Linked DNA regions of Ovis aries. The protein of the gene in region 1 interacts with the protein of each later gene in a pairwise test. Links are inferred from orthologs where the notes say so. Each region holds a gene or a part of one and is shown in the gene's direction. Other genes may lie near its edges. The genes, in order: FUNDC1, TUFM and YES1.

Evidence for each region.
Region 2: the proteins of FUNDC1 (region 1) and TUFM interact in binary tests that used the Homo sapiens proteins (3 or more experiments, as listed by UniProt). The two-hybrid records come from large-scale screens. The link is inferred for Ovis aries from reciprocal best matches to the Homo sapiens genes FUNDC1 and TUFM.
Region 3: the proteins of FUNDC1 (region 1) and YES1 interact in binary tests that used the Homo sapiens proteins (3 or more experiments, as listed by UniProt). The two-hybrid records come from large-scale screens. The link is inferred for Ovis aries from reciprocal best matches to the Homo sapiens genes FUNDC1 and YES1.

Annotation. Positions count from the first base shown.
Region 1 is NC_056080.1:43,693,688-43,697,840, reverse strand, and holds the start of FUNDC1 (FUN14 domain-containing protein 1), read left to right. Parts: upstream 1-1,347; 5' UTR 1,348-1,369; coding exon 1,370-1,397; intron 1,398-2,102; coding exon 2,103-2,259; intron 2,260-4,153. UniProt on the Homo sapiens protein: Integral mitochondrial outer-membrane protein that mediates the formation of mitochondria-associated endoplasmic reticulum membranes (MAMs).
Region 2 is NC_056077.1:26,479,357-26,483,589, forward strand, and holds the start of TUFM (elongation factor Tu, mitochondrial), read left to right. Parts: upstream 1-1,424; 5' UTR 1,425-1,496; coding exon 1,497-1,539; intron 1,540-1,642; coding exon 1,643-1,837; intron 1,838-2,574; coding exon 2,575-2,741; intron 2,742-2,966; coding exon 2,967-3,071; intron 3,072-3,160; coding exon 3,161-3,325; intron 3,326-3,457; coding exon 3,458-3,590; intron 3,591-3,673; coding exon 3,674-3,778; intron 3,779-3,891; coding exon 3,892-4,043; intron 4,044-4,133; coding exon 4,134-4,233. UniProt on the Homo sapiens protein: GTP hydrolase that promotes the GTP-dependent binding of aminoacyl-tRNA to the A-site of ribosomes during protein biosynthesis. Also plays a role in the regulation of autophagy and innate immunity.
Region 3 is NC_056076.1:36,052,479-36,056,116, reverse strand, and holds part of YES1 (tyrosine-protein kinase Yes), read left to right. Parts: intron 1-646; coding exon 647-802; intron 803-969; coding exon 970-1,149; intron 1,150-3,638. UniProt on the Homo sapiens protein: Non-receptor protein tyrosine kinase that is involved in the regulation of cell growth and survival, apoptosis, cell-cell adhesion, cytoskeleton remodeling, and differentiation.

The DNA of each region.
Region 1 (4,153 bases):
GTCTGATTCCTAGCGACCCCATGGACTGCAGCCTACCAGACTCCTCTGTCCATGGAATTTGCCAGGCAAGAGTACTGGAGTGGTTTGCCATTGCCTTCTCCCTATGGCATGCTAACCAATAACCTAATACCATCCTTCTAGTAGAAATTTTCTATCTTGAGACCATAAAAATTGGCTGGTAGCCTGCGAACGGGTTGGGCTCTCCCTTGAACCGACATGTGTTGTAATCGTGTGTCCCTCTCTAGTAAACTTTATTCATCTCTCATTCAGCCTCTTGGCTGGATATTCTTTTCCAATCCGCACATGGCCCACGACAGTAATCTCACACAAAGTGAAGATTAATATTTCCAGCCAGTCTTAGAATTGTATTTTGAGGTGCACAAGCTGAGGAACTTGAGAGACATCAACCCTTGCATTTAAAGCACCAGGACTTGAAAAGCCAAGTACAATTATGTAAGTTAATATTTTAAGTAATGCAGCCTCTACCAGGATTTCTTATTTTTCTTCATTTCCATATTCTCAGAATAAGAATACTGATAGGGTTGTTCTAAATGTACAGCGAATGCGGGTGCAACGTAAATTCAAAACAAGTTTCGGGGCCAGTTTATGTGAACCTGAGTCAGCCGCTTGGTTTTCAACACGGTTTCTCATTCAACAGAATCCCGTGAGGCTTCTTGGGTGAAGAACTTATCCTCGTTCCTCTGTCAGATTTAAATAACAAAAATGATGTTTAAAAATTATGTCCTCTTGAGTAACTCGTGTCAGGTCATTTTCTGGGCTTCCCTCTTCCTCCCTCAGGTTCCTGGCAGGAAACGCGTGGAGAAGATGAAAAGGTTCCAATTCCTAGCAGCAGCGCGTTAGAAAAATTTTCCATCGGTTAGTGAGCCTTTGACTGCTTGAAAAGTGTGGTTCGAAAGAGGGTTTCTCTTATCTCTTTTTAAAAGCCTCTTTCTGGTACCGTGTTACAAACAGCAAGCTGGTTTTCGTTTAACCACCATGTGACGCCCCCTCCCCTCCAGTGAGGCCCTTTGAAACAAAATATCAAAAGTTAGCTTCTGGAAATTCTCGGGGGGGAGGGGTGGGAAACCAGTGTTGCGGAGGGCAACTGACTACAACTCCCACAAATCCTTGCGGGCTGGTATCCAACCTGTCTCCCCCCTCCCCCCTCCTCGCGCCCCTCTGCCCTGCGCTTGCGCGGAAGGCCCTGCGCTTAGAGGAGGGGGCGGGGACAGGACTGTGCGCCTGGAGGAAAAGGAGGAGGAGATAAAAAAGAGACCATAGACTTCCACCTGGGCCTAGAGCGGTTTTTAAAGTAGGGGCGAGAGGCGGGCGGGTTGGGACCGCCTCAGTACAGGCCGCCGGCGGTATCATGGCGACCCGGAACCCCCCTCCCCAAGGTGAGCGGCCGGGGCCCGAAGTAGTATGTTAGAGGCAGCTCACAGCTCTCGACGTTGCTTCAGGCTCGCCTCTTCCTTCTGTCCCAGGGATCCTGGGGGCTCTGTTTTCTTGAGGCAACCTCTTTGAGCACCTCTTTTAGACTAGACCTCCCCTCCCCCTCTTGGACCCTCGCCCTCAACACGGCCCCACCTGTCTTACCTTCACCTCCCTTCCTATCCGTCTTCTAACGTTTAAGTCTTACTGTTGAAGTCATTTCTTCTTGCTGGGCCTCTAACCGGTTCGGCCAGTGGAAGACCCCCCTTTTCCTCCCACTGATGAAAATGGACCCTGCACTGACCCTGAACTTGAGATTTGGGGGTGACCCTTCATGCTGTGAAACTGACCTACCTACCGAGATTGGGGGAGACCCTGCTGTGAAACTGAGCCACCCCTGCAGAGATTTGGGGTAGGGGTGTAACTGCTCAGTTGTGTAACTGACGTTGCCCCGCCCCCCCAGACCTGTGTCTAGCTCTTTGGGAAGGGGATGCTAGGCCCTTTACTCTCAAGGCCCTAAGTCTCAGAGATTGGGTTTAAGAAACTGTCTACATCCGGGCGTTTTTAGGTGTATGCCAATGTAACAATGAATTTTAACAGATGAAAATGTACACGACATTTTTAACTTTCAGTTGACTGAAAATGTGTTGCTTTCGTTTTCTGCTTTCAAGAATATGAAAGTGATGATGATTCCTACGAAGTGTTGGATTTAACTGAGTATGCCAGAAGACATCACTGGTGGAATCGCGTGTTTGGCCACAGTTCCGGACCTATGGTAGAAAAATACTCGGTAGCCACCCAGATTGTAATGGGTGGAGTGAGTGGCTGGTGAGAACATCCTTTTTTTTTTTTTTTTTTTTTTTGTTAAATTTCACTGGGAGCCTGACTGCTGCCCTTTTGTATCTGGGCCAACTACATACTCAGTCAGTGGTTTTACAGTGTTAATCCCAGAAGAGCTGTACCTTGAGACTTTTCTCGGTGATATGATTAGTGTAATCTACACTCAGATTCTGCTGGGTTTTGGTGATCATCCTCCTCCTCATCCTTCCTTTTTTTTTTTTTTGCATATTTCCCCCCTTCTCAGATTTAGCAGATGTAGTGGATCTGATTCAGTACCAGTGGGTAAAGAGGAAAAAATATAGAAGAGAAGAGTTAATTATATGTAAATAATTTGTACTTGTTCGGTTGAAAACCCTGTGAGAACTCCCACAGTAAAACTAATCTCCAGGGTTATCAGCCCTGTGCAAAGCAGTGTAAAATTCTCAGTAAAAATTACTGATTATGATACAGATGGTTCTGTTAATTTTGTGGGCCAATTTAAATTATGATAATACTTTGAAGAAGGAGAGTTGTAGAACATTGGGTCTTTGTTGGAATTACTCAGTGATAATACTGTGGAGTACATTAAGGGGGAGAGGTTAATAGTATTAACCTCACCAGTTAACATTTCAGGTCACGTGATTATATAATTGCTACTGTAGATCTAATTCTGTTATTCTTAGACTCAAAAGATTAGCCAAATAACAAGGGTCAGAAAGAAGTTTGACCCTTTATTTTGAAAATGTTCATGACCCTAGGGAATTTCTGAAGCTAGTGGGTGTGCTTAACCTGTGAGTAATCATTTTTTCTTCTTAGATTCTAGGTTAAATTCATCCTACATTAATTTAAATATTTACATATTTAAACTCGATAAGTATAAAGTGTTTGTTTTAATTTGTGTTTTATTTGCACCTTGGAACAATGGTGTGCTCTTTTATGCCTTTTTTTTTTTTAACGCCTTTTTAAAATAAATGCCATTTTATGGTAGAGACATTCACTGTGAAGATTCTGTGATGAACAGGTACAGTATTTATTCATGATGTGTACTTATTAGTGCTGCTTATGAAAAAAGCCTGCAGTTGCCTGGTCAGAGCCCTGGTTATTCAGATGATTCTTCTCAAGCTGGTTATACTTTGATGCCCACAATTCAGGGCCTGGCCTTCTACTTAAATAAGCTCACAGTCTGGTGCCTTGGGTGATTGGTTAATGTGAGTCCAGGCCTAGAGCCCCATCTTGAAAGAGACTAAAAAATAATTGAGCAGTAGGATTAAATCATTGTGTGTTTTCTCCTTGTAGGCCAAACTTGGTGAGAAGCCCCATAATTGGAAGAAGTTTGCTTGGAAAGCCTAGAGACAGAACAGAGGACATTAGTATATTGATTGTAGTTTCTCATACCATTCAAGCAAAGGATAGACATGCTTGTGGAGCACAGTCCCCAGGATACTGTTAAGACCTGGTTGCTGCTTGGCTCCTTTGCTCCCTTTTCTGAGTCTTTGTTGCTGTCTCCCCTACTGAGGGACACATATGTTTGGATTATAGCCAGGTGTTGATCCAGGAGCTGTGTAATAGGACTCTAATATTATACAGGTGATTTGTTGCAATGACTTTAGATTCAGCGTAATAAACGTTTGCAATTTTTTTAGAGTATAAAACTGATGTCCTATTGTGGCATATGTTAAGGAGGAATGGTTAATAAGATGTTAGCTAGTTAACAATTCAGACCAATTCAGGACTTGATTGGGAAGCTGAGGAAATTATGTTTAGCTGTAGGTAGTTATATGTTCTTGATCCTAAAAAAAAACTAAAACTGACAGCAGAATGGGTGGCTGCTAGGTGAGATGGGAGGTGTGAAGATCAGCCAGAGGGTCATTAGTGTGATCTGAAAGCAAGGTAGCGATGCCTT
Region 2 (4,233 bases), on another chromosome or scaffold:
TTTCTCATTGTAAAATGACAGTTAAATTATAGTTCGGTGAAGTGGCTAAATGCACACTTTTTTGGAGTTTAGCTGTGTTGGGTTCCTTAATTACCGTGATGCTCAGTTTTCTCACTAGTAAAATGGGGTCCTATCACACAGTATAACATTGAATGTGATACTGAATGAGAAGCAACATGAAGCACAACGCCTGAACCATGAAAAGCTCTAATTCTGAGTCCCCCAAACTCCTATGAGTTTAAGAAGAGTATTAAAAATAAATATAGTTTTCTTGTCTGTACCCAGATACTACTGAATCATAATCTCCAAGGGAGGAATTAAGGAATCTATTTGAAACAGACACCATCAGCTGAGTCTTAGGAGCTGATGAATTTTGGAAACATTAATCAAGGTTAAGCAGCTGCTATTATCATCCCACGGTGATGAGATGATGGATGTGAAAGTTAAAGGTCATTTACTATCCTTGCACTCATTCATTCAGTCAACAGACATTAATTGAGCACTCACTGAGTGCCCCGCCCTGTGGTAGGTGCCAGGGACACAGCGGGAACAAGACAGACTCAGGCTGCCCTTAAAGGCACAAGAAGTTGGTCTCTCACCTGGTCATCTGTAAAACCGGGTGGGTTGACCGACGATCCAGAGAATTACTCTGGCCTGCTGAGGGGCGACAGGGGTGGACAGGAAACTCTGTCCCCCCTGGCTCACAGGGCATTTGAGCCAGGGGAGGGTCTCAAAGACTGTAGGACCCGGAGGCTTTTGGACCCCTTTTCTGCCTCTTGCCCAGCTCATTTCCTCTCAGAGCTAGATGTCAGGATCTTCCTGTAAAGTAGATACTATTCCCACTTCACAGATAAGAAAACAAAGGCTTAAAAGAGAGGTGGGTCACACTAGAGACCCACCCCCAACAGGTTCTCGGGAGTCTTCCCTCAGCCTGGCCGCAGCGGCTGGTCCTACCTCCAGCTGCGACACAAGGCCGCCAGATCTGTCGTCAGACCCGCGCGGCGGGTCGGACTGGACTCCAAGTGGTTCGGGGCCAAGACGTTCCGGAGTCATCCACGCCGGGGCCGCTGCCTCTGCTTCAAGAAGGCCTGGACCGTCCCTCCGGACCTGGCCTCGCCCTCCCACGATACGTGCCAGTACAGCTCACGGCCCTGGGAACTACAACGCCCATGAGCCTCCGGGGCGTAGGCGCGCTATGAGATGCTCCACATCGCCTCCCGGCGCCACCAGAGAGAACTGCGTGGCTCCTGAGCCCGCGAGGTTGGAGGGCGCCGTGGAAAGCTTCCCCACCTTACCACCATCAGCACTTTCCTGGACGGGTTCTGTCGCGCGCCCGGAAGTTCACAGGGCCATAGAGATTGGAGGCTAGAGGGGCCCAGACGTGCCCTCTCGGTCCTAACTTCCGCCGGAAGCGACTTCCATCCGCAATTGCCCTTTCCCCGCTGCACGCGCCGGCCCCCGTGCCCGGTACTCTCTACGGCGCCAGTACGACCACAATGGCGGCCGCTACCCTGCTGCGCGCGACGCCCCTTTTCAGCGGTGAGGGGGCGGGGAGGGCCACGGCGCCCCGGGTTCACGTGGGGGTCGTCGGGAGCGGCCGGGCTCAGACCTGCGCCGTGACTCCAGGCATCTGCCCCGGCAGGTCTCGGCGCCGGCCCAGCACCACTATTGCAGGGTCTTTTGCGGCAGCTGAAGGCCCCGGCATTGCCCGTCTTGTGCCGTGGCCTGGCTGTGGAGGCCAAGAAGACCTATGTACGTGACAAGCCCCATGTGAACGTGGGTACCATCGGCCATGTAGACCATGGCAAGACCACCCTCACCGCGGCCATCACGAAAAGTAAGTGGGGTTGGGTTGGGGGGCTTCCAGCAACGCCTGCTCTGCAGGTGGGACTTGGAGCCAAGGGGGCGGGGCCCGCGGAGGAACTGCCTAGGTGTTTGGTGCTGCCCCAAAGGCGCCAGGTGGCTTCCCAGGTGGCGCTAGTGGTAAAAACCCCGCTCGCCAATGCAGGTTAGGCGTAAGAGAGGCCGGTTCGATCCCTGGGGTCGGGGAGATCCCCTGGAGAAAGGAATGGCAATCTACTCCAGTATTCTTGACTGGAGAATCTCATGGACAGAAGAGCCTGTCCATAGACTGTCCTTTTCTAAAGTGGAAAGGGCCTTGCTGAAAAGTGTGTTCCCTTCCTTCCCTTAGTTTTAGCAGGCTACAGTCCATAGGGTCGCACAGAGTCGGACACGACTGAAGTGACTTACCAGGGCACAAGGCGCCAGAAATTGGGCGGACAGTACACTGCAGGATGCAGAAGACAGATTTCCCGTGAACACGAAGTTTTTGATGCATAAGTTGGGGGACCCCCCCAGTGGCCTCCCTCCAGCCCTGGGAAGGTGCCCTGTAAGCAGAATTGTTGGCCTAGAGAAGTCACAGGGCTAGCCCTTGAGGCTCTATTTTCTTTCTGATCTGGAGTTACTAGTCCCAGGAGTTGAAGGAGGGTATCTTGGAAGGTTGCTTTTCCTAGACTGTCCTTTTCTAAAGTGGAAAGGGCCTTGCTGAAAAGTGTGTTCCCTTCCTTCCCTTAGTTTTAGCGGAGGGAGGTGGGGCCAAGTTTAAGAAGTACGAAGAGATTGACAACGCCCCAGAGGAGCGAGCCCGAGGTATCACAATCAATGCGGCTCATGTGGAGTATAGCACAGCCGCCCGCCACTATGCCCACACTGACTGCCCCGGTCATGCAGATTACGTTAAGGTGAGAGAGCCGCTGGGGACAGGGCTTGGGAACTGCCCCCCTCAGGAAAAACGTTAGGATTGTGGGGAGGAGGTTAAGATATTTGAGATGTATGGGTTGGAGATCCTGGATCTGTGGGCCTGGCCAGTCACAGCAGGTGGTAAAGAAGTGTCTGTGCTTAGCTAGGTGGCTGGGGAGTGGAGGAGGTCATGGAATTGCACTACTTCCTCTCCTCTTTCTCCCCAGAATATGATCACAGGCACTGCCCCCCTCGATGGCTGCATCCTGGTGGTGGCAGCCAATGATGGCCCCATGCCCCAGACCCGAGAACACTTACTGCTAGCCAGACAGGTACTCAAGAGCCTGGGAAGGGGTGGAAGGGGGGGCGGGCGGGTGTTGGGCCATTCAGGACACCGTCTGTGTGTCTTTCTCACCTGCAGATTGGTGTCGAGCATGTGGTGGTGTATGTGAATAAGGCGGACGCTGTGCAGGACTCTGAGATGGTGGAGCTGGTGGAGCTGGAGATCAGGGAACTGCTGACTGAGTTTGGCTACAAAGGGGAGGAGACTCCAATCATTGTTGGTTCTGCCCTCTGTGCCCTTGAGGTGAAGGCGGGGTCAGGCTGGGGAGGGGGCTGGATGGGCACCCAGAGCTCTGCTCTGAGTCCAGGGCCTAGCTCTGGGCAAGTAAGAAGAGCAGAATGGAAGTTTCAGAGTCCTGTCACTTCCCGCTCATAGCAACGTGACCCTGAGCTAGGCCTGAAGTCCGTGCAGAAGCTACTGGATGCTGTGGACACATACATCCCAGTGCCCACCCGGGACCTGGAGAAGCCTTTCCTGCTGCCCGTGGAGTCAGTGTACTCGATCCCTGGTGAGGACCTGGCTCACTGCATTCCCTTCCCCTCTCTGCCGCTTCATCCGGTGTCCCTGATGCCCTGTCCTGTTCCCTCCCAGGCCGGGGCACAGTGGTGACAGGCACGCTCGAACGTGGCATTTTGAAGAAAGGAGACGAGTGTGAATTCCTGGGACACAGCAAGAATATTCGCACTGTGGTGACAGGTACAGGAGGCAGCCTTGGGACCCAGGCTAGGGTGACATCTCCCCCCCACAGACCCCCCCCATGCCTTCCCTCTGCCCCCACACCCTTCTCCTGCGTGTCTCCCCTCTCTTAGGCATTGAGATGTTCCACAAGAGCCTGGATAGGGCAGAGGCGGGCGACAACCTTGGGGCCCTGGTCCGAGGCTTGAAGCGGGAGGACCTGAGACGTGGCCTGGTCATGGCCAAGCCAGGTTCCATCCAGCCCCACCAGAAGGTGGAGGCACAGGTGAGGGCTCTAGGTGATGGGCAGGCACTGTGGAGGGTCAGTGCTTCCAGCCAGGCCCGGCTTCACCCATGTTCTTGCTCCCTCTCACAGGTGTACATCCTCAGCAAGGAAGAGGGTGGCCGCCACAAGCCTTTTGTATCCCACTTCATGCCTGTCATGTTCTCCCTGACTTGGGACATGGCCTGTCGGA
Region 3 (3,638 bases), on another chromosome or scaffold:
AGTAGCATCAGTTGTAATTGCACTTGTTAGAATGTGGATGTGTGCGGTTACTTGTTGAGTGGAACGCAATGTGTGTAAACAGGATTCACAAGTCAGTCAAACCACTGTCAATTTGGAGTTTCCTGTTTTTATGTCTCCCTTTATTTGAAAGTCAGTCCTTTAAAGAAGTTTTTGCTTGATTTTATTGTGCTTCTTAACACTTGTGGATTCTAGAAATAGCTGTTAATGGTAGCATTCTCTTTGGGGAAGAAATAAAGTACAGTGATCAAAAGCAGAACTTTGGAGGCAGTCTGATATAGGGTTTAAAACTCATCTCCATCACATGTTTACTGGGTGGCCTTGAGAAAGTTGCTTAAGTTTTCTAAGATTCCTTTATTTATATGAATTTGTGAAGTGCTGAATTGGCATGATAGCTGGGATATAAGTATTCAATAATAATAACTTTAAAATGTATTTAATAAAATGTTTCCCTTGTATGTTTTCTTTTATGCAATTTCATTTTTGTGTTTGTGCTTTTGTAGTAAAACTGATAGAACATCATGTTTTTATTTCCTATGATATAAACTTTTAAAAACACTGGTACAAGTATATATACCTCAGTTTTTGTAAATTATTCATTTACAGTATAGTTTATTCATTTATCTAGAACATGCCGATGGTTTATGCCATAAGTTAACAACTGTGTGTCCAACTGTGAAACCCCAGACTCAAGGTCTAGCAAAAGATGCTTGGGAAATCCCACGAGAATCTTTGCGACTAGAGGTTAAACTAGGACAAGGATGTTTTGGTGAAGTATGGATGGGTAAGGAGCCTGAACTTTTGTTTTCTTTCATTGTTTGCCCATAGATTAAAAGGCCATCATTTATGATATGTTGAAATATGTGAGCTTACTGCTGCTCATTGAAGTTTGTTGTAAATCTCTTAAAATATATATAGGTTAAAATAGTGAAATGTGGGTTGTTTCTCTAGGAACGTGGAATGGAACCACAAAAGTAGCAATCAAAACACTGAAGCCAGGTACAATGATGCCAGAAGCTTTTCTTCAAGAGGCTCAAATAATGAAAAAACTAAGACATGATAAACTTGTTCCACTATATGCTGTTGTTTCTGAAGAGCCAATTTACATTGTCACTGAATTTATGTCAAAAGGTATGTGTACATCAGTATCTCTGGGATATTCGTGTTAATAAATTTTGTCATTTCTCTCTTTATGCATACAGATTTTTATTGTGTTTTCTAATTGGAGATTTTTATGTAGACATATGAAAAGAGAAAATCTGATATGTTAACAGAATACTTAGTAATTAGTCCCAGTTATTCTGAAGGATAGTACAGAGTTGAAAAGGAAAATAAGGCACTGAATTTATTTTGAAAGTAAAGTCCTTGATTCCGTTTGACCAGAGGCAGTAGAATAGGAAAAAAAAGTATTTGCACTAGTTGATTTAAAACAGTGCAATCAGAACAATATTTGTGTCTTCAGTGCTAAATGAAAAAATCAGGTAAAGTTAAGGAAATTAGTTTTATCGAGTTTTAGTGTGCTCTGAGGACTCCTAGAAACTTCTTTTTTACACTACTGCCAACTGAAGGGTGTCTTTCTCCAAACTCCACACCCCATGGTGTGGGATCTTCAGTAACAGGATTAGGGCAGGGAAAGGAGAAAGCTTGTCACTCTTCCCTCTTTCTCCTTTGCTGATGATGCATTGGAAGAGGGACCAGTAAGTCACCAAGTATGCTTGCTGACAGGCGTGCTTTTTACCCTCTTGAATTTTATCTCCTCTTTTCAGTATTAATGAGTCACTAATCCATAGTGAAAGCCTCTGATGGCGTCATCGCGCTCCAGATGTCCATCTTGGTCAGTGAGGCACCTCCACCTAGTGGTGACAGCACCAACTACAAGCGGCACATTGACGGGGAAATATTTCCCACAAAAGAAACAGACGCTAGAGGTTAAGAACTGACATTCTTAGGAGAGTTCCAAAGAACAGCAGGAGAGAGAAGAAAGCCTTCCTCAGTGATCACTGCAAAGAAATAGAGGAAAACAATAGAATGGGAAAGACTATAGAGATCTCTTCGAGAAAATTAGAGATACCAAGGGAACATTTCATGCAAAGATGGGCACAATAAAGGACAGAAATGGTATGGACATAACAGAAGCAGAAGATATTAAGAAGAGGTGGCAAGAATACACAGAAGAACTATACAAAAAAGATCTTCATGACCCAGATAACCACAGTGGTGTAATCACTCACCTAGAGCCAGACATCCTGGAATGCAAAGTCAAGTGGACTTTAGGAAGCATCACTACGAACAAAGCTAGTGGAGGTGATGGAATTCCAGTTGAGCTATTTCAAATCCTAAAAGATGATGCTGTAAAAGTGCTGCACTCAATATGCCAGCAAATTTGGAAAATTCAACAATGGCCTCAGGACTGGAAAAGGTCAGTTTTCATTCCAGTCCCAAAGAAAGGCAATGCCAAAGAATGTTCAGACTACCATACAATTGTACTCATCTCACATGCTAGCAAAGTAATGCTCAAAATTCTCCAAGCGAGGCTTCAACAGTATGTGAACTGTGAATTTCCAGATGTTCAAGCTAGTTTTAGAAAAGGCACAGGAACCAGAGATCAAATTGCCAACATCTGTTGGATGATCAAAAAAAAATGAGAGTTCCAGAAAAACATCTATTTCTGCTTTATTGACTATGCCAAAGCCTTTGACCATGTGGATCATAACAAACTGTGGGAAATTCTTCAAGAAATGGGGATACCAGACCACCTGACCTGCCTTCTGAGAAATCTATATGCAGGTCAAGAAGCAGCAGTTAGAACTGGACATGGAACAACAGACTGGTTCCAAATCGGGAAAGGAGTACGTCAAGGCTGTATATTGTCACCCTGCTTATTTAACTTATATGCAGAGTACATCATGTGAAATGCCAGGCTGGATGAAGCACAAGCTGGAATCAAGATTGCTGGAAGAAATATCAATAACCTCAGATATGCAGATGAAATCACCCTTATGGCAGAAAGTGAAGAAGAACTAAAGAGCCTCTTGATGAAAGTGAAAGAGGAGAGTGAAAAAGTCGGCTTAAAGCTCAGCATTCAGAAAACTAAGATCATGGCATCCGGTCCTATCACTTCATGGCAAATAGATGGGGAAACAATGGAAACAGTGAGAAGACTTTATTTTCTTGGGCTCCAAAATCATTGCAGATGATGACTGCGGCCATGAAATTAAAAGACGCTTGCTCCTTGGAAGAAAAATTATGACCAACCTAGATAGCATATTAAAAAGCAGAGACATTACTTTGCCAACAAAGGTCCATCTAGTCAAAGCTTTGGTTTTTCCAGTAGTCATGTACAGATGTGAGAGTTGGACTATAAAGAAAGCTGAACGCTAAAAAACTGATGCTTTTGAACTGTGGTGTTGGAGAAGACTATTGAGAGTCCCTTGGACAGCAAGGAGATCCAATCAGTCCATCCTAAAGGAAATCAGTCCTGAATATTCATTGGAAGGACTGATGCTGAAGCTGAAACTCCAATACTTTGGCCCCCTGATGTGAAGAACTGGCTCATTTCAAAAGACCCTGATGCTGGGAAAGATTGAAAAGGCAAAAGGAGAAGGGGGTGACAGCGAATG